4 linked regions of the Callithrix jacchus genome follow. The protein of the gene in region 3 interacts with the protein of the main gene of each other region in a biochemical or structural test. Links are inferred from orthologs where the notes say so. Each region holds a gene or a part of one and is shown on either strand. Other genes may lie near its edges.

Region 1 (8,050 bases), on a different chromosome or scaffold from region 3:
GGTTGGAATTATGCCATTGATCAATGCTACTTCATGTGCCTGCGTTTTGGTCTCTGTGTCTCTAAATTGGAAGCCATGCCCCTCTACCTGGGTTGTGGGAAATAATGTGCAGTGATGGATGTGGAGCATGGCCTGCTCCTTCCCTCCACTCCGCAGGGTTTTGGAATGAGCCCGCCCTCCTCCACCTCTCTAATCTCCATCAGTCTCTGCAGTCACCTGCCCACCTGTGCTCCTCTGGCTCACTGCTGCTCAGTTTTCTGCTGACTCTGAAATATTTTTCCCCTTGTCTGCTTTTTGTCACCTCCTTCCACCCCAACAACCCTCCCAGGCTTTCCTGTTGTGCTCAAACCCCCATTTCCTTAGGGTTCCCTGGCAGTTGAATTGGTGGTGTGTGCTTTGGGTGGGGGATGGGGTGGGACAACAGGCTCCCTTTCCCCCTCCAGGCTGGCATGCAGATAGAATCAGTCCTTGTTGTGCCCAGGGGGATGCAGGACCTCTCGTGAGGAGCCCCTTTCACCTGCCTCCCCAGCCCCACAGGCAGGTACTACCTGCACCCACACTCTGCCACACTCATGCCCTCATAGTGGTACTTGAGGGTGGGCACCCCCATGTCATCCTTGTAGAGGACAGAGATGGGGCTCAGTTTGGTGGGCACACAGCAGGCCTTGCCCACCTTTGTGGGGAACTTGAGATGCACCAGGGTCTGCACAATCGCATGTTTCGTCGGCGTCACGTCATCGGCCAAGGGAAAGAAGCAGCCACCCTTACACTCGTAGGCTTCGTACTCCTTGGGCGCGATGATCCAGCTGTCCCAGCCAATGTCCTCAAAGTTCACCAGCAGAGAGGTCTTCTGACAGTGGCTGCCCGCCCCGGCACTCCTTTTCCGTCTGGCTAAAGTTGGTCCTGCAGCCACGTGGCTGTCCTCGCGGCTGCTCTCACCTGCCTCTGTGGAGCCATCCTTGGACAGCTTCTTGAGCACGCTCTCTTGCTCATGGCCGATCATCTCCCTGAGCTCCAGCCTGGCCTCCTTAGCCCCGCTGCTGTGGTCATTGGAGAAGACGACAAAGAAGGGCAGGTTTCCAGAACCTGGAGGAACACTGATGTCCAGCTTGTCACAGCCCTTCCTGTGACTCTCCACAGTCACTTCCAGCTTATTTTTGCTCTTAGTGGAGTCAGCCCGGACCCAGCGCTTCACGGCGCTGGACACTTCCAAGGTCTCCCAGCCCTCATCCCGAATGTCCTGGGACACCAGCAAGTTCTTGGTCCCGGCAGCACTATCCCAGGCATCTGTTCCATCCAGAACATCGTAAATGACCATGCTTCCTTTCACGTCGTGAGAGGCATCCACGTGATTTTGACAGGAGACATAGAGTCGGAGCTCGGCCCTGGTGATCTGCTCGTGCCTGGGAATGGAGATGTTGAAGAGCAAGATGTGCTTCTGGAAGGGGAAATCCTCCGTGGCAGTTACCGAGATGGCATCTGAAATGCAAACATACCTGGTGGGCATCTGCTGGCGGCTCTGTTTCTGTGACCTGAAGCTAAGTCTCAGGGTTTAGACAGAAGAACATCTGGGCTAACAGTTTTGGTCTCTAATCTCTATTTGGTTTCACCCAAGCCCTTAAGATAGAAGGGTATTTTGAAAGGCACATTTAAGATCTTCCAAAGAAAAGCAAAGGCAGGAGATGCCTCCAACTGAGACTGACAACTCCTACTGTTTCCCGAGCATCTACTATGTGACAGGCATTACACGGGAAGCTTGGCAGAATACATCTCACATTAATCCTCACACTCACCCTGGGAGGATCTAACTATTATTCCACGTTTACAGATGTGGAGACTGGGACTCAAGGCTACCAAAATGCACACAGCTAGTTAAGTATCCTGGCACTTAGTAGCACACAGATAGTTGAGTACATAAAGAAAGCAGCAAAACTCACTGTCAGGTCCTGAGTAAAGATTCTGAGTGTATGAATTTAAAGGAGAGATCCTGGGTGGGGACAGGAAAGCTCAATATTAAGACAATGTTAAAAATCTCAGCATTAGCTGGGCATGGTGGCGCGCACCTGTAGTCCCAGCTGCTCAGGAGGCTGAGGCAGGAGAATTGCCTGAATCCAGGAGGCGGAGGTGGGCCAACATCGTGCCATTGCACTCCAGCCTGGGTAACAAGAGCGAAACTCCATCTCAAAAAAAAAAAAAAACAAAAAACAAAAAACTCAGCATTTGCAGTGTCTAAGTTGTCTGGAATTGTAATTTCCAAACAAAGTGAAGGTGGACGGTCGTTTTCAGGGCTTGAGGGAAAAAACCTATTGGCTTAAATTGCTTTGTCATGTCAATCAAAAATGGGGCTTGCCTTTTAGCCACATAGTTGTCTCAATTTCCCATTGATCCTGGGCTGACACTTTGTCATTAGCATGCTCCTGCTATACCGTGGCTGGCTCACAGGCAGGGGAAAGTTTGCATTTTTTGAGCACTGGCTGTGCCCACATGTGTGGAGACCCTGTGCTGTAGGGAAATCCAGCCGGCAGGTTTTGACGTTCCAGTCCTGCCTCTGCAGACCGGTTAGATCTGGCCTGGCTGTGGTATGGAGCTGGGGCCCTTAGCCATTTGCAAGTCTCAGACCCAGGAGGGGAGAGGCCCTGTGCTCCTGGACATTCAAAGGGAGAAAGCAGCAGCAAAAGCCAGCTGTGCAGGCAGACAGGCCTAGGTCAGAATCCAGTGGCTTAACACTTCTTAGGAGACTTGGGTAGATACCCTGGGTGGCTGCAAGCTTTGACTGAACAGTTTCGCTGTTCAGAAACTCATTTCACCTGCATCATGTGAGCTTGACTGAGTTAGGACATAGGTTCTAGGTCCATGTTTGTTATCTTCCAGTCCTTCTAAGTCAGACATGTTTCTACTTAAAAACGATTAGGTTCTCTTCCAACATTTCTCTGTTAAAGAATTTTATCTGATTTTTAAAACTCTTTCACAAGAAAGGAATAGATGTGCTTTCAAAGTTTAAAAATATACAAGTTAGTTGGGGAAGAAATAGGTTGTCTGATCTGTTTTGAAGTAGGAAGAGGACAGGAAGTGAAGGGGGAAGGGAAGAGAAGTGAATCAGAGCAGGGAGATGGAAAGAAGAGGAGAGCAAAGGGAAGCGGGGGAAAAAAGGGGAGCTGGCATCCCTGTGCACCTGCTGTGTGAAACATGACACACAGCCCAGAGAAGGTGAATCCTTCAGAGCAGAGCGGCCGAGTAGCACTCTCAGTGACAATGAAAATGTCCTGCAATCTGCTCTGCCTGATAGCAAAGCCATTAGCCACACATTTGAAAGGAAGCTGGTGAGGCCAAAGAACTACATTTTAATTTTAGTTCATTGTAACTAATGTAAATGAGTTTGAAGAGCCTCCTATGGCCAGCAGCCTCCACGATGGTCAGGGCAGCTGTGGACCTGTGAGCCCCACCCCAGTGCGCCTGATGCAAGCAGAGACGTTACCTTCCATGCTGAAGCTCCGCACGATGTTGGACGCTGGCGTGGTTGACTTATCGGACATGTACCTGTTGTACAGGTCGATCATGTACTGCGGAGGCTCCACTCTGGTTTTGTCCTGCGAAGGGACCCCGCTCAGGTTAAGGCTGCGTAAGAAATCCACCTTCATGTTCTCCAGAAACAGCTTCAGGTTGAAGGTGTGCTCTGGCAGCTCACCTCCAGGCACCCGCAGTGGGCTGTGGGCATTTCCCCCAGCAGACCCTTGTCCCCAGCTCTGCAGTGGCTTCCCCTGTAGGGAGCCGGCCAGCAGGGACAGCAGGGGCAGGGCCACCCACAGTGCCCCAGGACACATCTTGGGCCCACGCAATTACCCAGAGAGGAGATTGCAGGCAGCCGTGCCGTGTTAGCAGGCTCGGGGAGGAGCTGGGAAGGAGCAGGCGGGCATCTCCCTGCTGTTTGCTCTGAAGGAACCGTCCTGGCCAGTGCCCACTCTTGCCTGCCGCCAGGCTGGATTGTCCTCTACTTGTGCTAATTTGGTCCTCGATGCCTCACTCCACCCTCTTATCTGAGGGAGCCCTTCGTTAATGAAGGCTCTATAAACATCTGACAAATACACAGGGCATGTGGGAAGGACATGGCCTACTGTAAAGAATCTGCGCTTCTCCTGGGGGTTATTGCCCCCTAATTAGGATCCTTTCTCATTTCCTTGCCAGGGCTGTTCAGAAGAATCTCCAGGCAGGGTGACATATACTCTATCTCCTGGGCCACAGGAGTGAAGAATCCAGGAAACAAGACCAGTAAGTCCTCTAAATAAAGAAAGGGCAGTGCAAGATCACAGTGAACCGTGGAGGCTGGGGAGATGGGGGTAGGGTGGGGACCGCATCAGAGCTCAGAAGAGGCCTGCTCCTTGTAGAGTCAGAACCTGTCAGCAAGCCTCCCTGCTCTGTTGGTGGGATACATTGCTGAGCATTAGAGATCACGGGTGAATATGGCTCCCGTGCAAATTAGTGTGGTGATGAGTCCAACTGGACAGAGGCTGGGATCTCAGCTCACCAATTGCCCACCAAGTGACACCTGGAGAAAGTCACTACAGCTCTCGGAGCCTCCCATTCAGAAGACAGCTGTAGATGGTTAAGAGGATGCTGTGCCCCAGGCTGGCTTGGTGGCTGTATTCTGGCTGCCGCATCTCTAGCCCAGGGCTGACTGAGCTGGAGATGGGGGAGGAAGCCCCAGATTCCCCTGGCCTGCTCTGGGGGAGCTCCACAACACACTGCAGCCTGTGGGGAGCTCCTCACATCCCCACATCCCAGCCCTGTCGCTGGTCTGTTGTGACGTGTCTTAGCTAACATTGACCTGGCAGACACCTGGGCCACACTCATCAGCAGGGAGAACCACGCAATCTGATACACAGGGGAGTAGGTGGGTTGTTCAGAGACTGGTACATGCCAAGAAGATGATCCCCTGGCCTATGGAGGCCGACAAGCTGCGGTCCAGGCAAGGGACCCAAGGACTGCGTTAAGAGCAATGTGTCCACACTTGGACTCTGTTTCCATCACGTGGGGCTTTGAGCAAAGCAAAGAAGGAGCATGGTCAGAAATACTCCGGGGTATGGTGTGCCTGGTGGTTTACTCTGGGAAGATGCTCCACATGGTGAGGCTCTGGGGGAGAGGTTGCAGAGAGCTGAGCAGGTTCAGGGGGTGCAGGAGGGGCCACGGCATGCTGTGGTCAGAGATTGCAAAGGGGGATGAGTGAAAGCAGGAACCCCTGAATGGCCAGACCTGGATGGAACTTGCTATCTCTGTCATTTAACAACGTGGGCAGGGGAAGAGAAGGTTGTTGTTTCAGAAACGCTGCTTGGGAAGATGACTGGAAGTGTGCTGGGCTTTGCTCCAGCCCAGTGCAAGAATTCCATGGGGAAAAGAAAAGATGAACAAATGGGTGCCATGCCCAAGAAATGGAGCTGCAAATGCGAAGGAGGGTGTGGTCTGGGAGGAGTGAGAATAGGGCAGATGCCTGCAACGTGCTCCGGCCAGGAGCCTTTCACAACCGAAAGGCTGAGCAGAGGGATAGCCTAGTGGCCTGGATGTGCACAGGGAGGAGCAAGGGGCTGCTACCTGATGTTATTTTTTAACTGTGACTTTTTTTCCCCTGGTTATAACAGTAGTCTGTAGCATAGAAAACTTGAGAAATGGAAAACATTATTTTTTTTGAGACAGTGTTTTGCTCTTGTTGCCCAGGCTGGAGTGCAATGGTGTGATCTCGGCTCACTGAAACCTCCATCTCCCAAGTTCAAGTGATTCTCCTGCCTCAGCCTCCCAAGTAGCTGGGATTACAGGCCTGCACCACCACTCCCAGCTATTTTTTTTTTTTTTGTATTTTTAATAGAGATGGGGTTTCACCATGTTGGCCAGGCTGGTCTCGAACTCCTGACCTCAGGTAATCCTCCTGCCTCAGCCTCCCAAAGTGCTGGGATTATATAAAGGCGTGAGCCACCATGCCCAGCCGGAAAACATTATTAAAGAGAAAATAAAAATAGCTTACAATTTAATCATCCAGTGATGTGCACAGCTGCATTTTGAGACACCTCCAGCTCCACAATCCTATATCTGAAACCCTTCTGGCCAGGAGTGTGTTGAGACTCTGATAGCTTCAGATTTGGGTGATTTTGTATTGTGTATATGCAATAACATCTCCAAAGGGGTCAGAGAAAACACCTCATAATGACACACATGAATATTTCTGCAGTGAAACCATTAAAGACACAAATGTCATTCAGGTCAAATTTTCCCAGAACATGAATTAAAAGAAACTGTAGGTTCTCTGATAGTTTTGTATTTAGGGGATCTCAGATGAAAATGAATTAAAAGAAACTTTAGGTTCTCTGATGGTTTTATATTTGGGGGGGTCTCAGATGAAGGACTATGGACCTGACTGTATCCAGCGTCATCACAGCTGCCTGTGGTGCTGGTCACAGTCTGACATGGGTGGCTTTCCCTGGAGCTGTACAATGCAACATGCCACTGTATATCTGAAACAATCTGATCTGCCTCACGAAAAGCAAGGTATCAATATGTTCACATCTCTTTTATTGTTTTTAATGGATTGCTTGAGTTTTCCTGATCCATATTAGCAGGAAGTCCAGTCTTCTCCTTTCCCGAATTGTCCAAGTGCCCCACAGGGCAATAAGGCCAAAGGAGATGGGGTGTGAAGGTGTGAGTCCAGCTTCTTCCTACTGGGAAGTGGGAGGGAGAGAGGGGTCCCTCCTGCTGTTGCTTCTCAACACCACTAGCTTTGCTGTTGGGCACCAGTCCTACATATGTAAACAACTGTTGTTCACGGCTGTTGGGATGCCCTCTAGCCCAGGTCTCTGGGGTGGCCCCCATGTGGCAACAAGGTAACAGTGTTCACAGACATGTGCCAGGCTTACCCATCTCCAGCATGCATGCCTCGGTAGCCAGTGGCTGAGTGGAGAGAAGAGCCCAGCTATGATCACACTCCAATTCCCACCTGCCCTTTCTCAAATCCCTAGGTTCTTACGAGAGACCTAGGTCACCAGTGGACTCTCACTTTCATCAAGTGGTGATTTCAGGCACCTGGTTACATTTTCATACAAATGGGCCTTGGTCCATCTGAGAAAATCCCCCTAACTCTGGGTCTTAGGGAACAAGTCCTGGTCTTGTGCTGCCTTTCTGAGGAGGAGACAGACCCTGGACGTTCCCTCCTGCAGGAGGACCCCTCCCTCTGCCATCACCAGTTTGCATTGTTGGGGCCTCAGGAAGGAGCTGCTGCCTTACTTGAACAACAGAAGGTCTTACTTACCCTCCTTTCCCCCTCCTCCTCCAAACTGTGTGCTTTCTAATTGTTCACTGATTTGCCAGAGAAGTTCATCCGCATGATTATTCAAAGCCTAAAGATCTGAATTATGGTAGTGTTCTGTGTCTATGCCTAAATAAAGCAAAAGCTGGCATAAAATTTAAGAAAATCTACACCAAAGTGCCTTCAATCTCTGCCTTAGGTTTACTTTGGAAGCCACTTGAGGTATACAAGGTTTGATGCTATATAGGCTTGTTTCTCTTTTAAAATATTTTCTAATTAAAAAAATTAAAATGCTGTCATTTAGATTCCTTTGTCACACGTTGCAGAAAAGCTGAATCCAAAGAGGCTTAAGCAAAGTGGATTGTGCCTGACTAATGAAACCTCAGTTGGCAGCGATTTGGCTTTAGCATGGCTTGAGCTATAGAACAGGCACAGTTTTAGCCATACTTTCTTCTCTCTCAGTCCTGCCTTCCACCTTGCAGGCTTCACACTCCATCTCTGTGTGTCTTGGCAAGGTGACTGGTCACTGCAGCTGGACTGCATCCCTTTCATATGGGGGCAAGGTGGGGTCGAGGAGGAGCAAAAGCCTCTTTTCCAGGAAGCGACAGGGAGTCTCATGGTGTCTCTCTGACCCTGACTGGATCATCTGCCAACACCCCAGCCAATCACCGTGGCCAGGGAAACACAACGTCCTGAATGTCCTGATTGGCTGAAGACCCTGGGATGGGTGTGGCACAGGCAGCACAGGGAGAGAGTCCCGTTGGC
Region 2 (7,766 bases), on a different chromosome or scaffold from region 3:
AGGCAGGGGCTGGGCGAAGATAGAGGGCGACAGGGTCCGGAATCCGAGAAGGTGGTCTGGGAACTAAACGAGTGGCTTGAGGGCTTATTTTATTGCGGCGATCAGGTTGAAATGCTCCAGCCAAAAGCGCCTGATCGTGGTCGCTCACCCGCAGAGAAGGGAAGAGAGACGGTTCCGGAGACCTCGGTGAGTTTTGACAAGAGGCTGGGAACGTGCCACGGAGACACTGGGTGCTCCCCGGGGCAAGTAGGGTAGGAGAAGGGAGGGGTTAGCCCTCTTGGTATAACCCCGGGCTTTCATCTCTTCAGCCCCCTCTCACTCCCCTTTCTTGCAATCCAGAGAGGGCGAGTGTGCACCAGCAGCACTTTAAAAGGAACTGGTACGCTTCGAGCGCCTTGGCTACCGGGCTAAGAAGGGAGCGACAGTGCTGCCAGGGAGCGGAGTGTGGACATTGCAAGGGAGGTCCGACGGGAGGGACAGCCGGCGAGCAGGGGTGGTGAGGGCAGAGTTAATTCCCGGGAGGGGGAAGGAAGAGGTGTCTACTCACTGACAGAAAACAAGGCATATAATAACAGTCCATGATTCTTGACAGCCAATCTTGAACAAACTTGCTGGAAAGGCTCAGGGAAGCTGCAGCAGTGCGTTGCTCGGGATGGCACTACGGAATGGCTCCTAAAAGGAATATTTGAATATAATGAGACTCCGGCGCAGACAGGCTCTGTTTTTCTTCCAACCCCTCGGAGTCACGTGAGCGCTGAGGCCCCTCCTGCAGAGGGCGGTGAAAGGGCCCGCGCGCCCTCCCCTCCTTCACAGTCCCCGGCCCCTCGCGGGTCCGCCCCCTCCAGGCGAGGCCAACCTTCGCGCCCGCCGCCTGAGCCTCAGCGGTCCGGGAGGAGCTCCCGGCGGCGCTCCGCAGAGCCCTCCGCCGGTGCCCGGCCGCCGGCGAGCTTCCCGGGCTATGGGCGCAGCGCGCTGAGAACCTGGTTCTCCGCACTGTACGTTGGGCTGGGCCCCGGGCCAGGCAGCCTGAAGCCGGAGGATGTGGGGCTCACTGAAGGGGCTGCGTCTTGCAGCTCTATCCCCGCCTAAGTGGGGCTGGGAGCGGGGTCGGGAGAGCCTCACCCCCGCCCCCCAAAGCCTCACCGCCGAGAGGCACTTAAAAAGGAAAGCGCCGAGGGACCCTGCACACGCGCGTGTACACACGCGCGCGTGCGCGAGCGCGCTCCCCGCCGCTTCCTCCCTAGGGTCTCCGCGAGGCCAAATACTGCTCCCAATGACAGCCAGTGACCCCAGCCAGTCACGCCTGCTAAGGCTCGGACGAGCCGGGCCACCGATCTAGCTCCCGGCTGAAAGCTGCCAACCCTGTCACGCATGGGGCCAGGAATGGGGTGCAGGGAGGTGTTAGAGGGTGATCGCTGTGCGAAAGTGAGGGGGAACGGTTACTAGTATGCTCCGGGACCATTACGGAGAATCCCCGCACCGAATCGGCCGCTGCACGGCCCGTCTCCCCCGGCAAAGCAGACCCGCGAAGAAGCCATTCCAGGCGGAGGGACAGACGCCACCCGGACTCGCAGCTCCGGGAAGATTCAGAAAGGCGTCGCTGCAGAAAGGACGCATCACAGTTTTCAGATCTTAAAGTCGCCGAGGTTTTACAATTCCCGACCCCGCGCAGAAAGGAAATCCCACCTTGTTCCCGGGAGTCGAGAAAACTGGGAACAGCTTTGGGCCTGAGCTCGACCTCTGCGTCTGCGTCTCTCTCGCCTCGGCTTGGCTTATTTTTTAAACAACCACACTCCTTCCCCCGCCACTTCCTTCCCCCACCTCCTTCCTCCGTTGCACCAGCAGCAGAGTCGCAGCAAATACTCCAAGAATTTTACCTACCCACAACTCAAGCAATTACTGGGATGCCCTGCCTAATCGAAGATACAGCCGCGCGCGTGGGTAGCTCAACTCAAGGGCCTCTCGGAAAACCCGACCCGGCGCAACTGAGCGTTCAGCAGGGGCCGGCGCGCCAGGTCGCCCCCGGGTCCCGAGCCCCACGACTCCTGCCCCAAAGCCCACTCTACCCGGCCTCCCTTTCCTGAGGCTGCTCCCAGTTGCTGCTTTGGGTCGCTTCGGAGCTCGAGGGTTCGGGTTGCCTGCCGCCCCACTCTCCATGCACACACTTAGTTTTTTTCTTGGGGGCACTTGTAGGTAGACTTTGAGGAAGAAGAGTAAAGGATCGAGCAGCTCAGTTCTCCCTCCCGGCCGTGGTTGCCCGGCGCGGACTGACACCTCCGGTCCGGGTGCGGAGGCGGCGGGCGCCCCTGCGCGACAGTCCGCGCCCAGCAAGAGCGTACGGCTTTCGCCTGTTCTGATCCCGCGCCACCGCTGGGGCGGACTGCGAAAGGATTGGGAATAGCAAAGGGTTTGTTTTGTTTTGTTTTGAGACGCAGAAGCCCTTTAAAAAGCCCAGCGAGGGGAGCTCCAGAAGTAGAGAAAGCAGAAGGAGGCAACCTGGTGCCCGCGGAGCAAAGCGACCGTGGAAGGGGCGGGCACCCGGAATCCCCGGACAACCCTCGGCCCTGAGGAATCTCCTAGGGCGGGAGCTCGCGGTTCTACAACTGAGAGAATAGGGAGAAGAGGGATTTGTCTTTTAATTTAGGATTCACCAGGATTCATCTCTCATCACATTTTTCTTCTCAAATTTTTAAATTCAAAAGATAAAAGCCAAAAGAACTTTCATCCCCAGCACCCTTTCCTAGGGGAAAGGTGTGGAACTCAGGGTGATTGTCCTTCACTTCCCTTCCCGAATCTTTTCCTAACGCCGAAAACTGTTTAGAGGTGTTTACCAAGTATGTATTTTTGGGGGTGTAACGTCTCACAAAGCCTTCAACTCATAAACTGCGATCCTTGCAAACCATCCTCCAAAGCAGTGCCTAGGAGGCGTCTGAGGCCCCGGGACCAACTCCCGCTGGCAGAAGTCTGCAGGGACCCGGGGAATCACGGGATCCTTTTCCGTCGGATCCGGACCGGGAGGGTCAGGAAGGGCCGCGAGTCTGCCTTTGGTCCCGCCAGGAACTCCCCATAGGACACGACACCACAGGAACGTGTCCTGGGAGCCCCTGGCATCCTGGATGTCGTCCCTACGGACCCTACACCGTGAAATGATAGAGGAGAGGCTCCTTGGGTTCCGCAAGTCAACGAAAATAGCTTGTGGAGAAGGCGCGTCCCTCAAATGCAGTTCGCAAGCTCTCGGGGCGCCCCGCCAGCTGGGGGCCAGGTTGGGTGACACTCCCCTCGACAAAGCCTCTGGAGCGGCGCGCACTCTCCAGAGGCCAGCAGGACTGCGCTCCCTACCCCAGAAACACCTCCAGCTAGGTGCTCGCTCCCCTTGTCGACGTCGTTCTGCCCCCTCACTCTTTCCGGACCTCAGAGCCGGCTCTTGCCTTCCTCCTCCCACCCTTTCCGTCCGAGGATCGCAACCTCCAGCCCACCGGCAACGCGTTCAGCCCAAGACCCCACAGTTTTTGTTTCCAACGTTCACCTACCAAGGGCTTCTCCAGTTTCTGCCCTCCTGCCCCGCACCTCCCAAAGGTGGGAATCTCCCAGGGACTGCTGGACAGAGAAGGCCTGGGCAGGGGCAGTAGCCAAAATTTAAATGTCTTTCAGCGCCAGCATCCCTACCTCCTGCACCACTATTAGAAAATAATTAGGCCACCTTTTGCCTCGGTCATAGCCTGAGCCCCCAGCTTCTTCCCTCCAAGGAGGCTCCTAGACCTCTGCCTGACTCCCCTCACCAGGTCGCCTTGCTCACCATAGGTCCCTGCAGTAGCGGGCTCGCCAGCAGCAGCTCCTGGGGACCTCTGAAGTGTTGCAGAGAACCTGGGCGAGGGTCGGGGACTGGGGCGCTGCAGGCTCGAGACAGCTTGGACGAGAATCCCATCGGGGAGACAGGCGAGATACTCAGCCCGAGCAGCAGCGGCTTCTCAGGCTCGCGTCCCTCGGCTCGGATGCCACACTCACCTAGCTTCCGGGCCGGACTCCGCGCTCCTTCCCTCCCTCCCTCCTCCTCTGCCTTCTCGCATCTTCCTTCCTCCTCTTTCCCTCCCTTGCTTTCTTTCTTTCCTTCCTCCTCCTCTTCCCCGGCGGCCCCTCCCTTCTTCCCTCCTCCCTCGCTCGCCTCCCTTTCTGGGGATGGGAGCCCCGCCCACATCCTCCCCTCCAGCCGCCCGGCCTCGCCTAGCAGGCCCGGGTCCCGGAAACCCCGGCAGCGCCCGAGTCCGCAGCTGCCGTCAGGGCTGGGACGCCGCTGCCTCCAGCTCTGGGAGGCGGCCGGGGCTCACCTGGGGACCACGTGCGAAGGTACTAGAAAGCATGCACCGACTAGTCGCCGTACCTTCCAAAAATACCCATGGGAGTCTGGGCTTCCCTGAGTTTAGTGTAACTGCTGCCCAAACTGATGATTAAAACACTGAGTAATCACCATTTACTCCGAGTAATTAGAGATAATGAAACACCTCTAAAATCAGGTTATGGAGAAAGGAGCTGTTGGATCGGTTTAAAAGGTGGCCTTCCATAAACTGTTAAAGGATTTCCAAACGTTGGGAAACAGGCTGTGTGCAGAACTGTGTGCCAGAGATAGATACCTCTTCACCTCTTCGGCTTTTAAAAGGTGAATTTCCTTCCAAAACATTCTTAAAGTGCATTTTGTGGAAAGCCTTGGTGATGACCCTCAGGTAGACCCCAGTAAAGGAGCTCACTTCCCTCCTCCCCCAGGCCTAAAGAGGTGGCCTGCAGACAGTCTGGGGCCACGTTTTTACAGTTAGAAAAATCTGGTTCTAGCCCAGAAGCCCTCTTAAGAACCTGCACTGCAGTTATTTTTGTTGGTGGTGTTATGGTTGTTGTTGATTTTTTTGTTGTTGTTCATTTTTGGTGTACCTCAGAATCCTGACACTCTGACTTTCCAGGGAAATCACCGCAGAAGCAATAACCTTTTAGGCCACAGAGAGACAAGAAAAGATGCCCTTTGGTCTGTTTTTAAAGGAAAAGGGGGAATGGGGAATTGACCCTTTCATATAAAAACATTTTAGTAATCATATTAGCAGGGAGGTGGGATGTGGTGGCTTTTAAACCTTCCCAAACAGTAACTAATTTCACACACTGCCTCTGATGGAGCTGTGAGGGAGCTATCAGGCTCATCTCTGTTTTACAAACAAGGAAGGGAAGAACAACCAGGTTAAAGGGACTTGCCCAGATCCCTGAAGTAAATCACAGCCTCTGCTCCAGAGCTAATGCTTTAGGGCAGGGTTGAGGCTCACCGCCTGAGCTCCAGGTAGCCAGGGGAGTGCTGGAGAACTGAGCATTTCCTGTCCTGGATTTCTTTCCCTGGGACAGACATGACACTACTGTCTCCACAAAGCATTTAGGTCTTTACTAAATTTACTAGGTCTCTGAGTGGCGTATCTATAAAAACTTTACATTTATACACCTTCAATATTGAAAAAACAAGAACTACTTCCAGTGTGGAACACAGATTACAAAGGGTGGGTAATACCTGAGATCAGAGAAGCGACTGTAAGACCAAGGCCAAGAAGTCCTGCCATCTTGTCCAGGCCTAGTGTGGTCTCCTGGCCTTACAATGCACCAAACAACGGAAACAAGCTGCTTGGCTTTGGGCAAGTCCTTTCATTCTTATGAGTCTCCATTTTCTCATCTGCAGAATGAAAGGATTGGGCCAGATCATCTCCATGCTCCCTTTATATGTGAACATGATTTGATTATTTAATTGTAATTTTAGCCAACATCCATCTTGTTTTATTTTAAATCATTCTTGAGTCCACCTCCTCTAAGAACCTCTGATTAAAATAGGGCAGGCAATAACATCACCCCAAAAGAATGACAAAATATCTCTCCAGCTTCCAAATACTCAAAATGACAATTAATTATTAAAAATAACTACAGAAAATTAAAACTCCATTAAATAGTTACCTAATGAACCTCCTGCAGCATCAGGCAGCGTGCTCCTTTAGCACAGTACCTGAAGTAAAGACAGATTAAATGCTCATTGAGCCCCTCAATCAACCACTATTGTTTTAATCATTTAAAAAGTGTTTCTTAATATTTAAACTCAGAAACAACAGCGATATGTTGTATTTAAAGGCAAGACTTCATTTTATTTTAAAGCACCAATGTCATTTTGGGGCTTTTTTAATCCCAAAGGTATTTGAATGACAGCTATTGTCTCATTTTGCTGCAGCCCAGACAATAAAGTGGCCACTGATTGGCCCATCCATGAGTCTGTGACACTCACAGTCCGGGAGTTTCCAATTAAGCTACCTGACATATTTTGTTTAGACCCTGATATGAATCTTCAGATATGTGATAAGAGAACTCAGCTTTAGTTCTCTTGGGACAGCTTGCTTTCTTTCTCCACATTTTAGATGGGTGCAAGCCATCTGTTATCAACTGCTTTTACCCACGCCTCCTTCTCCCCCCTTACTCATGCCAAAAAACAAATTACTTGTGGGTTAGAGAGCTAAATCAACCACAGCCTAGTGATCAGAGTTGGTGAGAAGAATCAGTTCAGTCCTTTTCCCTAGCTCAAGCTTACCTGTGAATTTTCACATTTTTATAGAGTGTCGTCGATAGACCAAATGAAACTGTACCCTTAAAGCATATTGATGAAGAGGAGAAACCCACCATAATGCAGGAGCAACTATTGCTCCTATGGTGCTACTGCTGAATGGAGGGCATTTGTTTGCTGGGCTTTTCCTGGAGAGCATTAAGAAAGAGTAGCTGGTCAATAGCCTGTCCGCGAGCCCTTGGGACAGCCTTTTTCAAAGTATGTTATCAGGACAATAAGCCTCAGAGTAGGGTGAAAGTGTAGATACAGTGCAGATTGCCTCGCCCTGTCCTAAATCTGGAACCAGAAATCTGTATATTTCACAAGGTTCTCTGGTCATTCTAAGCACACTAAAGCTTGAGAGCTACTGTTTTAAAAGTTTTTTTGCTTACATTTTCTATGCTAAGTACCATTAAAAGGCTGATACCAAGGCATCATTAAATAGGCATGGACTATGCTTGGCTTGAGCTTTATAAACTGTTAAATATGGCAATTATAGTATCACTATGCCCTGAACACACCAAGTAGGTCTATGCAAGTGAAAAGATAATCCTATAGATATAGTAGTCCCTAATTCCCCATCCCCAGTTAAGAACCGTATCAGGTCTTCAAACCTTCTTTGCCAATTAGGTATCCGGTGAATCTATGGAGGGAATTTCCAGAATCATTGCTAAGTTTTGAGACACAATAAGATAGATCAATTGGAATTGGAATTGGACTTGACATTGGAATTGGAATCAATCTCTGAAATCGGCCGGAAACATTAGTTTTCCTCTTATTAATATTTATCATATGTTATATATTTGCCCTCTATGTCTCTGGCCCACACAACAACCATTATCAAATCCCTGTCTTACAGATAAGAATCTGAAGTTTAGAGAGGTTATGTAAGTGTCCAAGGTCACAAAGCTAAAAAGTGGTGGACCCCAAATCCAAACTAGGTCAGTCTGTCTCCTCTCCCTGGGCCTGCAGATGGGGGAGCAAGTGAGGGGTGGTGTTGTGGATGGATCCCCGGAGCTTATCCTGGAAGCTTTCCCCAGGCCAAGGCACCAGCTGCTGCTCCATCCTGGCAGCATGCTATTACCAAGAATTTCAGGATATTTTCCCAGGTTCTTAGACAGCAAAACAAAATCAAGACCCAGAAAACTGTTTCTTCTTGACA
Region 3 (7,297 bases):
ACACTGTGGTTTCTACCTGCCACACCATTCATGGTGACTGTCACCACATGAGGTTCTGCTGCATTGATTGTATTCATCTTTGCAACTCCAGTTTCTACTTGTTTCAAGTTTGATTTGTGCTTGCTGCCAAATTTTAACCGGGGCTCCTTTGTTGAATTTTTGGTGTTTAAAGGCAAACTAGTAGGTCTCTTGGGAAGGTTCTGTTGCTTGGGGAGAGGATAGATCTGAGTAGGCAGAACATCAGGAATTAAACATGCTTGGCCATTTGCAGCCTGTGTGAAGTCCTGCTGTCCAGTTGCTTCTACTGCAAGTTTTATGAGTGGGTAAAGCAAGCTAGAACTAGTACTGCTCAGTGGGTCTGGCCCACTGAACTGTTTAAGAGAATGCTCCATCAGATTCTCGTCAGAGCTTTCCTTGAGGTTCTTATCAACTTCTTTTGGGTCTAGTTTGTTGGTCTCCAAGTCTTCTTCTGTCAGCTGTAAGCAGACAGGGGTTGGCCCAATTGATTGTGCAACATTTGTGGCATGCAGATTTGTTTCATCTGGGTATGGCATCTCAGATATAGTGGTCATGCCAGTACTTGGAGTGAGGCCTGTGGTGTTTGTGGTTGTTGTGTTGGTGGAGAGGCTGGTGACACTTGTTTCAGGGCTGGGGATTCGAGCTTGTGCTTGCTGTCGTTCATAGTTAATTGAATTTCGGTTCTTTTCCCCTATAGTCAAAGGTGTGCTGGACATAGAATGCTCAGAGGAAATATTCTTCACAATGCTGTCAGTGTGATGGATAGAGTCTTCAATGTATGAGGAGGAAGAATAATCTGGATAAGGACCAATTTTTGGCACACGCCTATTATGTGACAGGTTGCTTAAAGAAAGAAAAAAAGTGTCACATTGAGAACAGACATTTATGACAAACTGTCTCTCCAAGTTTAACACCTCTGATTTTAAAGTCTGAGCTGTTTTTCATTTTCTTCCAAACATATATTTTTCTAAAGGTTAGTTAAAAAGTCTAATCAAATAATCAAGTATCAATTAATAACTTAAGTGTTAGTTTTAGATGAATAAAGCCTACTGAAAAATTTATGTGAATCAGATATGATTTTTATAAATGTCCATTATTTTGGTTTATAAGAGTTAATTAAAAAATCTCTCCTATAGTTTTATAACATCACAAAATATCTATTTATGAACTGTATATTCATACAACCAGACATTATGTTTTATGAAAGGAAGAATCATGGCATATGTTTCTTTTTTACTTCCATAATTCTAGATGCATAGTACCTACTCAAAAGGTATGTTGTCAATTATCTTCCAATGGCCAAATGGTAAAAAGAATATAAGCTTTTAGGTTGTTCCAAAGGCCTCCATTAAGAGGCATGCCCTAGCAATGGCACATATCTTTCTGGAGTAGTCTGAGCCATTTGAGCAAAAGTCCTTGAGCCCAAGGTATAAGGAAGAATGTGATGTTCAAATAAAGAACCAAAGATTCAGAACTGCTCTCTAATTATCATGGGTTTTTCACTGTCATTGTCATTCCTTGGGAGTGACAGTTATTTATAAGGGAGATGACAGGAGGAAAAGAAGAAAGAGTTGTTAAACAGTACAAGAAAAGGAAGCTAAGGAGACATGGAGGGTAAGATTCAGTAAAATAAAACGTAGAGTTAGAGTAACTATGGGAAATCATTAGTAGAGACCGGAGATGAGAAGATGCATGGAGAAGGTCAAGCTGAATGACATGGGAGGCAAAAAAATGGCCAAATCAAGGTGGGGCATCAAGGGTTTCTTTTCTTACCATTAAAGAAAAGTTTGAAAGCATTCGAAGTAAAAGCTTTAGCTGACTTTTGAGAAAAGTATAAACACCATACTAGAGGACATGGGAAATACAGAGATGAGGGGAGATGAAAGCAGAAGACTGTCCTCAGGTATGTTGAAAGTGAGAAAACTTATGATTACAATTGCCAGTGTCTACCTTTCCTGACTTGCTGATATATAAGGTATAAGTTTATATCTGAAACTAATTTAACCTATACAAAAGTAGTACAAACCACATTTTTTACCTATGGCTAATATAAATAGCTTTCACAAATTAGAACAACAGAAAATAGGCCAGGCACAGTGGCTCACAGCCAGGCACGGTGGCTCACGCCAGCACTTTAAGAGGCCAAGGCAGGTGGATCACCAGAGGTCAGGAGTTCACGATCAGCCTGGCTAACATGGTGAAATCCCATCTCTACTAAATATACAAAATTAGTTGGGCCTGTAATTAGGTGGCTCATGCTTGTAATCCTAGCAACTGGGGAAGCTGAGGCAAGAGAATCTCTTGAACCCAGGAGGGGGAGATTGCAGTGAGCCAGGATTGCGCCACTGCACTCCAGCCTGAGTGACAGAGTGAGACTCAGTTCCCCCTCCCCCCAAAAAAGTTTCAAGAATCAAGTGTATTTTTATTTCAATTTTCGCCAGTACCGCTTTCCTGGATGCCTTTCTGAAAGTTTTAAACATGTATTAGACAAAATGACAAAGTCATAGAAAGGCTTTCTTTTCTCCCAAACATGGAACAAAGAAATACAGACGTAGAAAGTTCCAAATTGTAGTGATTTTTTTTAAAGTCTCTTTATTTAAAACCAAAAATCATAGTTCTAATAAAGGAAATGTCTTATAAAATAATATTCATGATGGAATAGAAAGACCTTTGAATTGCTTTCATGTAGTAGTAGTGTATTCTATAAGAAAGAGTATTAGATAGAAAGTCTAGAAACGGTAGCATCAGTGACAGTCGTTAGATAGGCAAGTTCACAGTTCTATTGACTTAAGGAAAAAAGCAGAGGAGGAAGGAATAATAACAACAAAGGATAAATGAGACAATTTATATAGAAGTGCTTATGAACTTTTAGTTATTAAAATGTTTTACCTTTATTATTGCAGGAAAGTTAGACCATAGAGAAATACTAAGTTCTTTCACTATATTTTTACATATAAAAAAAAATGCAGATTTCATTTTGTACTTATACCAAACAAAAATGTTCAGTAAATAGGAATACTGAAAGACAAATGATAACTTTAGATTGTACGAGGTAATCATTGAACCATTAGGCTGGTTTAACAGTATTTGTTTTCTATTCTTTGTTAGGTCTCAGTTTCTAATACTGATTGATAGATGCCACACCCCTTAGGGTCTTACCGTTCATTCTGCATAGCAGTAGACATTGGATTGACTGTTGGGCTCACAGATTTGTTTCTTTCCCAAATCATCATAAGTTCAGCCATCCTTTCCTCAGCACACTGTGCAGTAAGCCGAGCCTCTGCATCCTGGTCCCAACAGTCTTCGATTGTCTCCTTGAGTGACCTCACTGCCTGTAAGACAAAGTACATGTCAAACTGTGTGTCTTTAAAAAAAAGTATCGAGCTTTTCAGTTCACAATATGAGGTAAAAGAAAAATCAATTTCCCTAACCAGTATTTTACATACAATAACATATTTTAGGCTTCAAGGATTTGTAAAGGAACACATTCTCAAAAGGCGATGAACAAGTAAGCAAGCAAGCAAGATTTAATTTAACTCCCTGAAGAATTATTCACAAAAGTAAACAACAGTAAGTCGCAGATGTTTTTTCAAGGCCACAGGTTTATGTCATTGTTGTTAATTCACAGTTCTGTTATTTCAATCGATAGCCACTAATTCCGCCTCAAAAATAAGTTTTGAGTTTGATGGAATTTGGGGCATTTGGCTATCTTCTATCTCTAGGTGAGCTTTTCTCCTTTTCCCTTAGTTAAGAGTGCTTGGCTAGGCACAGTGGCTCACACCTATAATCCTAGCACTTTGGGAGGCTGAGGCAGGCCAATCACCTGAGGTCAGGAGTTTGAGACCAGTTTGGCTAACATGGCGAAACCCCATCTCTACTAAAAACATAAAAAAATTAGCTAGCATGGTGGTGTGCACCTGTAGTCCCAGCTACTTAGGAGGCTGAGGCAGGAGAATTGCTTAAACCTGGAAGGCAGGGGTTGCAGTGAGCCAAGATTGTGCCACTGCACTCCAGCCTGGTGACAGAGTGAGACTCTGCCTTAAAAGAAAAGAAAAAAAAAAAGAGTGCCTCATTCCAACCTTAAAATTTACAGACATGTCTTCTTTAAACTAGTTCCACAGCAGTAGTATCAAAAACAGTCCCATGCTGTAGTACTCCTATACATTAGCAATGAACAACAGTCTCTCTTTTGGGGAAAGCTAGTTTTAACTCCCTTTTTAAAAACAGACTTTGAATAGTTTGGTAGACTGTCATCTATAATCCCTTCAGACTTGTTTCAATTAAGCTTTAAGCTTTGTGCCTGCTCTGATATTTACATTTCCTGTACCTTTACTTTCTTTTTTTTTTTTTTATTTTGTAGGAAGGGAGGAAGGCAGGAAGGGAGGGAGGGAGGAAGAAAGGGAGTGAGGGAGGGAGGGAGAGAAGGGAAGGAAGGAAATCAGGCAATGAGAAAGACATTGCCAACCTGGATCTGGAGGTCTACAAGTTGATTTCTTTTTTTCTTTTTTTTTTTTGAGAGAAGGAAAGAAAAAAAAGGAGTGAAGGAGAGGAAGAAAGAGGAAGAAAAAGAGGGAGAGAGAATGGAAATGTTGCTTTATTCTAAAAAAAATGGGTATTAATAATGGCCAATCAATGTTTCATTTAAACTTATGAGTAGGTGTGATGTGGTATGGACAAGAATGTATATTTTGTGGATTTGAAGTGGGGAGCTCTATAAATATTTATTAAGTTTACTTGTTCTGGATCTGAGTTCGAGTCCTTGATATCCTTATTAATTTTCTGTCTCACTGAGTCTAAGTCTTTATGTATCTGGGTGTTAGGATCGTTAGCTTTTGTTGTTGCATTGATCCTTTTACCACTGTATCTTTGTTGCTTTAAAATCTATTTTATCCGATACAAGATCTGCAATGCCTGCTTTTTATTTATTTATTATTTATTTTTGCTCTCCATTTGGTTGGTAAATCTTTCTCCATCCCTTTGTTTTGGGTCTTTGTGTATCCTTGCATGTGAAACGGGTCTGGATGTAACATGCCGTTGGGTTTTGGCTGTGTCTTTTGATTGGGGGATTTAGTCAATTTAAATTTAGGGTTACTGCCATTTGATGTTAACTCGCTGTTTGATCCATTCGTTGGTGTAAATTCTTCTTTATGTTGGTGCTCTTTACTTTTTGGTATATTTTGAGAAAGGCTAATACTGGTTGTTTCTTTCTATGTGTAATGCTTCTTTCAGAAGCTCTTGTAAAGCAGGCCTGGTGGTAATAAAATCTCTGAGTTCTTGCTTGTTCATAAAAGATTTTATTTTTCCTTCAGTTGTGAAGTTTAGTTTGGCTGGATATGAAATTCTGGGCTGAAGGTTCTGTTCTTTGAGGATGTTGAATATTGGCCCCCACTCTCTTCTGGCTTGTAGAGTTTCTGCTGAGAGATCTGCTGTAAGTCTGACAGGCTTGCCTTTGTGGGTAACCTGACCTTTCTCTCTGGCTGCCCTTAGTAATTTCTCCTTCGTTTCAACCCTGGTGAATCTAATGATTATGTGCCTTGGGGTTGCTCTTCTTGAGGAATATCTTTGTGGTGTTCTCTGTATTACCTGGGGTTGAATATTGACCTGCTTTGCTAGTTTAGGAAAATTTTCCTGAATAATATCCTGAAGGGTATTTTCCAGCTTGGATTCATTCTCTCCGTCGCATTCAGGTACACCTATCAAACGTAAATTTGGTCTTTTCACATAGTCCCACATTTCTTGGAGACTTTGTTCATTCCTTTTTATCCTTTTTTCTCTAATCTTTTCTTCACATTTTATTTCATTAAGTTGGACTTTGACCTCTGATATCCCTTCTTCTGCCTGAACAATTCGAGTGTTTAAACCTGTGCATACTTCTCGGAGTTCCTGTATTGTATTCTTCAGTTCCATTAATTCATTCATACTCCTCTCTAAGTTGTCTATTCTCAATAGGATTTCATCAAACCTTTTTTCAAAGTTCCTAGTTTCTTTACATTGGGCTACAACATGTTCTTTTAACTCACCGAAGTTTGTTATTATCCATTCCTTGATGAGTACTTCTGTCATCATTGGGATGTGCTCGTTCTCCATCAAGCCTTGTTCCATTGTTGATGTGGAACTGTGATCATCTTTAGAGGGAGAGGCATTCTGACTTTGAGTATTCTCAGCTTTTTTACGCTGGTTTCTTCCCGTCATTGTAAATTTATCCTCCTGTCGTCTTTGAATTTACCAACTTTCAGATTAGGTCTCTTGAGTGGACGTCCAGGTTGTTAGTTCCCAGGGCCAGAGCAGCGTCGTTAAAACTGATGGTGCTTTTCTTCCCAGGATTCTCCTGTCGGGCTTCCTTCTTGTGTCCGTAGTAGGTGACTCTGCCTTCCCGGGGCTCCAAACCTCGGTCAGAAGGGGAACCGTTTACTCTGCGCCGAGCGCTGCCACGCCGAGGTGCCATCACAGCCTCTACACCGGGCTCTGGTGTTGTGCTGGGGACCTGTGCGGGTCCTCCAAACCTGTTTACTCTGCTCTGAGAGCTGCCGAGCCAAGGTGCCGGCCGGAACCGCTGTGCCGGCCACGAGAGTTGCGCTGGCGACCCGTGTGTTTCCTCCACTGGGGATCAGTCGCTCGGTGAACGACCAGAATTTGTCTGAAAGTGTGGCGTCCTCTAGTTCTCAGCGCCTTCACTGAGAGGTGCAATCCCGGGATGTTAGCAATCGGCCATCTTGGATCGTCACCCCTAATTTATTTTTTGAGACAGGGTCTTGCCCTGTCTTCCAGGCTGGAGTGCAGTGGCACAATCTCGGCTCACTGTAACCTCTGCCTCCTGGGTTCAAGTGATTTTCCTGCCTCAGCCTGCCAAGTAGCTGGGATTACAGATACCTGCCACCATGCCTGGCTAATTTTTGTATTTTTAGTAGAGACGGGGTTTCACCATGTTGACCAGGCTGGTCTTGAACTACTGACCTTGGGTGATCCACCTGCCTCAGCCTCCCAAAGCACTGGGATTACAGGCAGGAGCCACCACACCTGGCCAAAACTCCCCAAATTTAGTAAAATAAATAAATCTAGGCTAGGTATGATGGCTAACACCTGTAATCCCAGCAGTTTGAGAGCAATCTGGCCAATATGGTGAAACCCTGTCTCTACTAAAAACAAAAAAATTAGCTAGGTATGGGGTCAGGCACCTGTAATCCCAGCTACTTGGGAGGCTGAGGCAGGAGAATTGCTTGAACCTGGGTAGTGAAGGTTGCAGTGAGCCAAGAGCCGAGATCATGCCACTGCACTCCAG
Region 4 (8,075 bases), on a different chromosome or scaffold from region 3:
GTTTATTAAAAAATTTTTTAGTGGCATGCATGGCACAAGGATGTTTATAAAAAGCAAATCCTGGGTTTATACAACAGTGATTAGTCTTGAAAAAAGTGCTATCTCCATCCAGCCTAATGATGATATATTAGTCATAACTAGACAAGAAATGGGTTAGTTGAAACTTGGGGCAAAATTACATAGCTTTTCTCCATTATCTAACTGCATTAAGACCTGAAGTTATTACAAGTTGATTTTAATCAAGTGGGTAACTTCTGTACTGTTTTGCAGATAACATTTACACTCACAGAAGAATAAATTCTGACTTTATAAACTCAAACATGCTTTATAAGTTAAAGTAACACAGTTGAATAATGTGTAGCCTGCTTAGTTTTGATCAAGCCACTTAAAGAGCAATGATGAGACTATGCAGACATTACTGATAAAAATCCTCACACAATCGAATGTTTTACTTGTTAACTAACTTAAACGATGATCTTCCTTTGAAGTTATAACAGAGACACAGCATCTTCCTGGCCTTAAAAATAAAGTTAAGAACTTCCATGCTAAATTTCCACAAGAGGTGTCTAAAACAGCTGTTCTGACTATATTTCTATACTCAAACAACAAACAAACAAAACTATTCTAATCAGCATTTACTGGGAATGATTAGCTGGATCTATAATAATTTCAGGGCTAAGAGGGCAGAATACACACCCCCCACACACACACAAATTTTACACATGACAACAGATGACTTCTGCTTTCACTGGATGAATTCTGAAAGAGCGGAGTGAGTTCTTACCGCCTTTCAAATCTGATTTCTAGCTAGCAGAAATGTGCTTGAAAATGAACTGATGATCAATTCAGTATCCCCGCCATGATGTAGAGCTGCCTCAATGATAATGTATCTTCTGCTATGTGGCCTGCCTTTGGGACTTATTTCCATTACCAACAAATGTTCTCACAAGCATAAGTCATTCTTCACACTGGGAGAAAACATCTGGCTGTGCCATTTCTGATTAGTCTATTATCGGTGTAGATTTCCCACCTGAAACTTACCACCTAAGCAGGGAAAGGCAAGAAAGAGAGCTTCACTCCCAACTCCCCAAATATCCTTCATTGCTCTGTGATGTACAACTTTGTACTCTTTTCTGGGATTTGAAGAAACCCATGCTCTATTTTAAATGTATTAAGCCAAAGAAGCATCTAAAAGTGTAGAAAAAGAATTGGAGTGGAACATATTTTTGACTAATTGCTCTAAGAACTTAGGTACAGAGGCTCTCAATAGCCGCTGTAAGACATTCCCACTCGACAAAATGCCCTTCTGATGAAACAAGCAGATATATCCCACCTTAGAAAAACCACATGTAGTATCATAAAAGAAAAAAAAAATCCACATTTCAGTGCACATTAAAAAAAAAACAGGCAGCTGCTACAAATGCTTTTATCTGAAGGCTTGCCTTGTCTCTACTCAGGGCCTATCTCAGATTTAAGCACAGGACAAGAAAGCCATTGTGGAAACAATAAGATTGATTGTAGAATTGATCTCCCACGGGGATTAGATCGGGATTCAAAATCTTCCAAACCAGGCCCAGATCAACTATAAATTAGAAAGACTTTGGGCTTTGATTTTTCAATACTATCTCTGCAAACTCTGTCCTTGGCTCTGTCTAGCCTGAAACCCTGGCTTAAGCAGCAGATTTATAGAGCAAAAGCTTCCAAACAGACTTAAAGAAATGTCAATCTGCCTCCCTTTTTCTCCTTTTCTCTCTGTGGAATTCTTGCACGTTTAGCTGACTAGGGGCATGCCTTTTGCCCTCATCTTCCCCATCACTTGATTTCTCTCCAGTTCCTGGGAGGAGGAACTCTTCTGGCCGCAAGCCAGGGAAGAGGGTGGCGGAGTTACTCAAGGGGAATCCCTGGCTCCCCCACCACACAAGCGATGAGTTACAATGAGTTAAAATCAGGTTCAGAAACGATGGTACAGAAGCCAGAGTGGAAACGTTCCCCGGTGCCCTGGCCAAGCTGCCTCTGCAGGGATGGCTGCAGTCTGCCCTGGGTGGAGGGCTTCGCAGGGTAACTCCCCGCCCCCACGCCCTGCTCCGCGCCTCACCTTCATGGTGGAAGCTTCGCACAGTGTTGGCTCGGCTGGCTGCCCTCTCCAGCCGGTGGTCTGGGGCGGGTGCGCCCGGCTGACCCGAGTGCCTGCGATACAGCTCTAGCATGTAGGGGGGCACCACGGCGTCCCTGCTGGGGGTGGGTCTCTGCTTCAGGCCGAACATGCTGAGCAGCCGCAATTCGAACTCGCTCAGGACCTCGTCGGAGGGCTGGGACGAGGGGCGGCCCGACGACGACGCCGCGAACTTCCTGCGGCCCAGCTCCGGAACGAGGCCGGCCGCGCCGCCCAGGAGGACCTGGGGAAGCAGCAACGCTAGAAGACAGCGGGTCCCGGCCACCATGGTCGACCTGCAGACAGGACCGACGTGAGTCACCCCGAGTTCCCCGCCCAGTCCTCCCCCCTCGCGCCCCCGCGGCCCCGGCTCCCGTTTGGCAAACTTGACTCCTCCAGGGTGCCCTCCTGGCTTGGCACACTCGCGAGTGTACGTAAGACCGACCAAGGCTCAAATGTTTGGGATAATGAAAGGTCCCAAGTTCCAGGACCAGATGAGTTCTCGCTCCCATCCAACTCTTAACTCGTCTGACATCAGATCTGGGGTTTGCCCTCCCCTCCCAACCAAACCAGCTGCAATGATGGTCACCTTTTTGTTGTGACACAGCGCTGACAGTCAGTGCAGGGAACCTGGGAGAACCACCGCTTGGTCTGACACCCTGCGTCCCCTATACAAACCCAAATGCATAGTGCTCAGCGCTCTCTGGCATATAAACACATGCAAATGGTGCATGTGATTTCCTTAGAGGCGCTGTATAGAACTTCCTCATACACACACACACACACACACACACACTCACACACACACACACACACACAGCCTATAACTTCCAGACCCTGTAAGCTCAAGGCCACAACTTCCAAAGCCACTTAAAACTTGTGGCCCAGGTCCCTACCCTCAGGGGTGTCTGGAGAGGCCACTCAATCCCGCATCCCCATAGTACAGGTAAGACACACATGTATCTTCCTGGGATTACGTAAATGGCGAATATCTATTAATGCACGTGTCAGCTGTTAAAAACACAGTACCAAGCGATCCTTCAGTACCGACTGCTCGCATTTCTGGAAACGAGTAGGGAGAATCCCAACTCCTAGTACTTTCCTAAATGGGACATGGCTCTGTGTAAAGAAACCAAGTCTCTCAGCCACACTTGAAGAAGGGAGATCACCACGGCAGGGTGGACAGGTTCTCAGCTAACGGGTGAAAGCCAGGGGCTACCCTCTCAAAGGGATTTCCTTGACCCTTGACTCTTAAAAAAAATTCATTTAAGTGTTAACAGCTTCACAAGTATTCGGGGGAGAGGGGAAAGAAGAGGGGTGGAAGAGTGCGGGCTGGGAGGGTGAGGCTGATGGTCTCCCGGGGCAGCTTGAAGGGGGCACCCCCACAGGGCTCCGGTGCACGTGGACCTGGAGAGGGGTCTGTTTACTTCTGGCCTGGACATAAGGAAGGGCTCTGCCGCAGTGACTGCCCAGATCCCCCTCCCACCCACCCCCACCCCGGCCCCTGGCTAGCGTCCTCTACCTTTAGGAGACCGCAGTCCGTCTAAGAAGCACGCGGGGACACGTCCATTGAAAGAGCGTCCACATGGAAAAACTCTGGTCGAAGGAGCTGGCGCAAGGACCGAATGTCCGTTCCTTTTCTTTGCCTCCTCCTTCTCCCGGATGCCGGCCGCGCAGTCTCTCTTTTCACGCTGGGAACAGCGTCCCAGGGTCCGGCAAGGCGGAGGAGTGGAGGGGCGGTGGGGCTCGGAGGTGGCGGTGGCGAGGCAGGATCCGCTGGGGCAAAGGCACCGGCGCAAAGTGGGGAGCGCAAGTTATTCTCCCTGCAAGTTCAAGAACTCCCCAGCCAAGTGCTGACACACAACAACAGCGAGCAGGGGGAGGAGTGCGGGGCAGGGAAGGGAAGGAAAGCTAGAAAGGAGAAGCTGGTGCAGTCGTCCTCCTTAGGAACCAGCGCCCGTGGGACGCGTGGCCCCGCGCGGGCCGGCTCCGGGACTCCGGGGGCGAGGGTCGGGCGCTCCGCGCTAGCTCCGCTGCGGCCCATGGCTCGGAGCAGCCATCCTGGGCGACGCCGGGTCCGGGGAAGGGCACGGCGGCGATCTCGGTGCCAGGCGAGTTGCCCCCCAGCATCACTCTGCCTTACTCCAATGCACCCCCATTCGCGCTCGCCAGTCGAAAGCACCGAGGCTCAGGCGCCCCGTCGTCCTCGGGCTCATTCTTCGGCGAGTCTAGCCGAGTCCCGGGCCGCCGAGGTGGGTGACTGTGCTCTCCCCTCGTTCTCCCAGCCCTGGGGGCCAAGAGCCCTTTGTGGCTAGCCTGGGGTCCGATCACACCTCGGCCGGCGCGTCCCAGGCCCCCGATCTCCGGCAGGAGGTGCTCCGCATCGCGGCGCTCGGGTTCGGCTCCAGAGTCCCCGGCGCCCTGAGCGCCCGTCCGCGGCTCTGGCGCAGCCCGGGCAGCCGAGGCCACGGCGCTGTGGCGCGCTCGGCCGGGTGCTCAAGCCCGCGCGGGGTCTGCGACTCGCGGGTGCCTCGCGCCCCCCGGGTGATCTGCGCGGCGCTGGCCCCGAGAGCGTTAGGGTCGCTGGCGGACGCTGTGGCGGTCGACGTGCAGCGGCGGCTGCCAGTCCCCAGCGGGGTGTGGGAAGCGGAGCGACTAGCGCAGTGCGAGCCGGGCGCAGCGCGGCAGGGCGAGGACTCCGGCGGCGACGGCGGCGGCGGCGCTGTGGCGCGGCGCTCGCGGCTTTTAAAGGGGACGCCGCCAGCAGGCTCCCTCCCGGCCTCCGCCGAACACCTCCCCCTCGGCGGCGCGGGCCGGGGATCCCCGAGCGGGCGGGAGCTGCGCGCAGGGGTGTGGACGGCGCGCCCGGGCAGCCGCGGCGGGGTGGGGCAGAGGGCGGGGGCGTGCGGCCGCCTAGGCGGGCGCTCGCGCCTCCACCCCCTGCCCTCAAAGGAGAGATCAGCTGGCGCGCCGGACCCTCGGGGGACTCTGAAGGCGAAATCCAGGACAAACGCAGGGTCAGGGTCTGGCCTCTATTTCCCCTCTGGGCCCGTTATTCAACTTTCAGTTTGAAGTTTTTCGGTAATACACGATTTCAAAAAGTAAAACAGGACACCTCAATTGCAGCGCATTTTGGCATAGCATAGACGTGGGATCCACACTTCTGTTTCCCTGGAACAGGAGGAAAATTAAAAGAAACAGGAGGCTGGAAATTGAGTACTTTTAAACATTAATACATAGAGATGTATGTATTTACATATGTAAATGCATGTGTACAAATTTCCATTTACATAAATATGTGTATGCATTTATTTTCATATCCATGTACATGTAAATGTATGTTTATATAAATATATCCTTGTATCTTTGCGCCTCAGAGGCAGGCGATTAGCAGCTCAGAGGAAGGTAAAACAATGCATAGCGTGAACCAAGCATACAGGACAATTCCAGTCTGGGACCTTAGGACCTTCTACTCCACTCTCTTCCACCAGGCCCCCAAGAAGTAGAGCTGTGACACGTGGCCAAATCACTCCTCAGCTGAATATTCACTCAACTCACTCCTCAGCTGAAATATTCTCAGAGCTGCTGCACCGTGAGTCTGGGGCTAAGGGTTTCTACCCTTCCCAGGATTCCAGGAGCCCCCTTGCACAGCACCTCGGGGTTGCCCAAATGATCCCCAAAACCAAGGGCAGAAATTTTTGGTAAAGGCCAGGTTCTGCTTTCCCAGAGCTATTGGGCTTGCAAAACACAGAGAAAAAAGTCAGAATCGGGAGCTGGTAATAAAACTATTATCCATGTGTATTATTTTTTCGGTGGGGGAACTAAAATAATTCTAGGTTCCGCTCACGTAAATCGGATTAGCAACCCACAGAGGCGAATTAGGCACTTGCTGTTTCTAAAGGTATAAAGGTCAAATAAGGTATTTTGGAGGAAGCCTGCCTACCAGGAAAATAAAAGAGAGGTGGGGGGAGTTATTCAGGAACATGCTACTTTATTTCTTGCGCCCGGGGGGGGATTGGGGGGGACGGGGAAGGTGCTATAGAAATTGACTGTCACTCTAAGTCACTGGACAGCAAACAAGTAGCCAATAAAACATATTCTACATATAGACACAGTTTAAAAAGTATTTATTGGGCTTCTGAAACTACTTTTTTTCCTATCAAGTTTAATTGAGAAGTTAACTGTTGTTTCTGTCATTACTTAGATTTCAAAAACCAAACCAAACCTCTATGAGACTTCAATCAATAGGTAGCTTTTAAAGAGGAGGAAAAGTTGATAACTATTGAATGTCCCCGGAGAAAAAGTAAAAAATAAATGTCCTGTGATGACATCAAGGATGTCTTGCAGCTTTAGAACTTCGTAACTTGGTAAGTGGAAACCTTGTCAGTTTAGAATCTAAGGGAAAATGGGTAATTCCGAGCACTGTTTCATGGTGGTGTTGCCCATTGCAGAACCTCTTTTATGTAGGGTGTGTGACTTCTGAGGAACTACTGAATGCCTGTCCCAAGCACAACTTACCTAAATTTTGGCCCTATTTCTCTCAAAACCAAGGCTTCATTTTTTTTTTTTTTTTTTTTAAGAGATGGCTGCCCTCTTGTGGTGAAAATGAATTCGAACGCTTGAAAGAAAGAAGTTCATAAATAAATAAATAATCTCCAAAGATTGTATTTGGGATGCGAAGTACAGGCTGACTGTATCTACCCATTTTCCAGGGAAGAGCGATAGGCAGAAATGATAAATCTAACTAGAGACGAACTATTTTTTTTTTCTCTTCACTAATGGCTACCTTCCACCTGCAATTTAGATTGCTGGGTTATTTAATACGTTGGGAGAGTGTCTGTTTGCCATGAAAATATCACTTGCTGCTAACCGTTGTTGATTCTACCTTTTTCAAAGGTTCATTCAAAGTTTTTCAGTTGAGAGGGTGACATTCATTCTTCCTGAGTTATCAGATTTGGTGTATCTGCCAGCAAATGTGGAGAGGGGCCAAGGTGGGAGTGGGGAGTTGTTAAGAAAGGGATAGAGGTTGCAAACTCAAATGCCTCAGAGGGTACAGACAAGTTATGTATAAAAGCAAAGATGACCAGATAATGATTCCACACTAAGGAGGTCGTTACTATTCCGTTTCAGTCACTTCTTGCCAGTTTCTCAAGAAACGGTGCGAATTTGCATTTGATTGTGTGTGGACAGAACTCGGGATGAAATGAAGGGTTTACAGTCACACTTTGGCAACTTTTACTTTAGCACTTCCGCTCACATGATATTCCATTGGACTGCATTCTGTAGCCATGGCGTTCAGCATTGTTCTTGCCAGGCCAACCATTATGCAAATCAGTATTAAAATAGTCTTCTAAAGTGCGCAGCAGGCGTTGCATGATCCATCTACCTTGTAATTGTCATTCCATGGAAACCTGTGATAACTGCCCTGAGAAATACGCTTTGCTTTTTAGCATACATATCGCTTTGTTACAAGTTTGACACCGGAAACCAGCCGTTCTTACTTACCTGGATGAAGTTTTTGTTGTTATTGTTTTGTTTTGTTTGTTTGTTTTGGGACTGAGTCTCACTCTTTCGCCTAGGCTGGAGTGCAGTGGCACAATCTCAGCTCACTGCAACCTCCGCCTCCCAAGTTCAAGTGATTCTCCTGTCTCCATCTTCTGAGTAGCTGGGATTACAGGTGTGCACCACCACACTTGACTAATTTTTGCATTTTGAGTAGAGAAGGTGTTTCGCCACATTGATCAGGCTGGCCTTGAACTGCTGACCTTGTAATCTGCCTGCCTTGGCCTCCCGAAGTGCTGAAATTACAGGCATGAACCACTGTGCTGGTGAATGAAGTTTTTATCACAAGAACTTGGAGCCAAGGCAAAAGAAAAGCATTTAGTCAATCAAATGTTTTCCTTTTGGGTGTTTGATTAGACAT

What was found.
Region 1: the proteins of BMPR2 (region 3) and GDF2 form a complex in vitro, tested with the Homo sapiens proteins (2 studies listed by BioGRID). The link is inferred for Callithrix jacchus from reciprocal best matches to the Homo sapiens genes BMPR2 and GDF2.
Region 2: the proteins of BMPR2 (region 3) and BMP4 form a complex in vitro, tested with the Homo sapiens proteins (2 studies listed by BioGRID). The link is inferred for Callithrix jacchus from reciprocal best matches to the Homo sapiens genes BMPR2 and BMP4.
Region 4: the proteins of BMPR2 (region 3) and BMP2 form a complex in vitro, tested with the Homo sapiens proteins (4 studies listed by BioGRID and IntAct, with this or other methods). The link is inferred for Callithrix jacchus from reciprocal best matches to the Homo sapiens genes BMPR2 and BMP2.

What each region holds. Positions count from the first base shown.
Region 1 is NC_133513.1:41,179,906-41,187,955, reverse strand, and holds the start of GDF2 (growth/differentiation factor 2), read right to left. Parts: upstream 4,037-8,050; 5' UTR 3,822-4,036; coding exon 3,476-3,821; intron 1,480-3,475; coding exon 545-1,479; 3' UTR 1-544. UniProt on the Homo sapiens protein: Potent circulating inhibitor of angiogenesis. Signals through the type I activin receptor ACVRL1 but not other Alks. Signaling through SMAD1 in endothelial cells requires TGF-beta coreceptor endoglin/ENG.
Region 2 is NC_133509.1:88,523,287-88,531,052, forward strand, and holds the start of BMP4 (bone morphogenetic protein 4), read right to left. Parts: upstream 4,073-7,766; 5' UTR 4,068-4,072; coding exon 4,006-4,067; exon of another isoform or gene 3,797-4,005; intron 673-3,796; coding exon 548-672; intron 1-547.
Region 3 is NC_133507.1:123,697,137-123,704,433, reverse strand, and holds part of BMPR2 (bone morphogenetic protein receptor type-2), read right to left. Parts: intron 3,351-7,297; coding exon 3,178-3,350; intron 862-3,177; coding exon 1-861. UniProt on the Homo sapiens protein: On ligand binding, forms a receptor complex consisting of two type II and two type I transmembrane serine/threonine kinases.
Region 4 is NC_133506.1:14,043,607-14,051,681, reverse strand, and holds the start of BMP2 (bone morphogenetic protein 2), read right to left. Parts: upstream 4,874-8,075; 5' UTR 3,675-4,873; intron 2,449-3,674; 5' UTR 2,442-2,448; coding exon 2,096-2,441; intron 1-2,095. UniProt on the Homo sapiens protein: Growth factor of the TGF-beta superfamily that plays essential roles in many developmental processes, including cardiogenesis, neurogenesis, and osteogenesis. Induces cartilage and bone formation.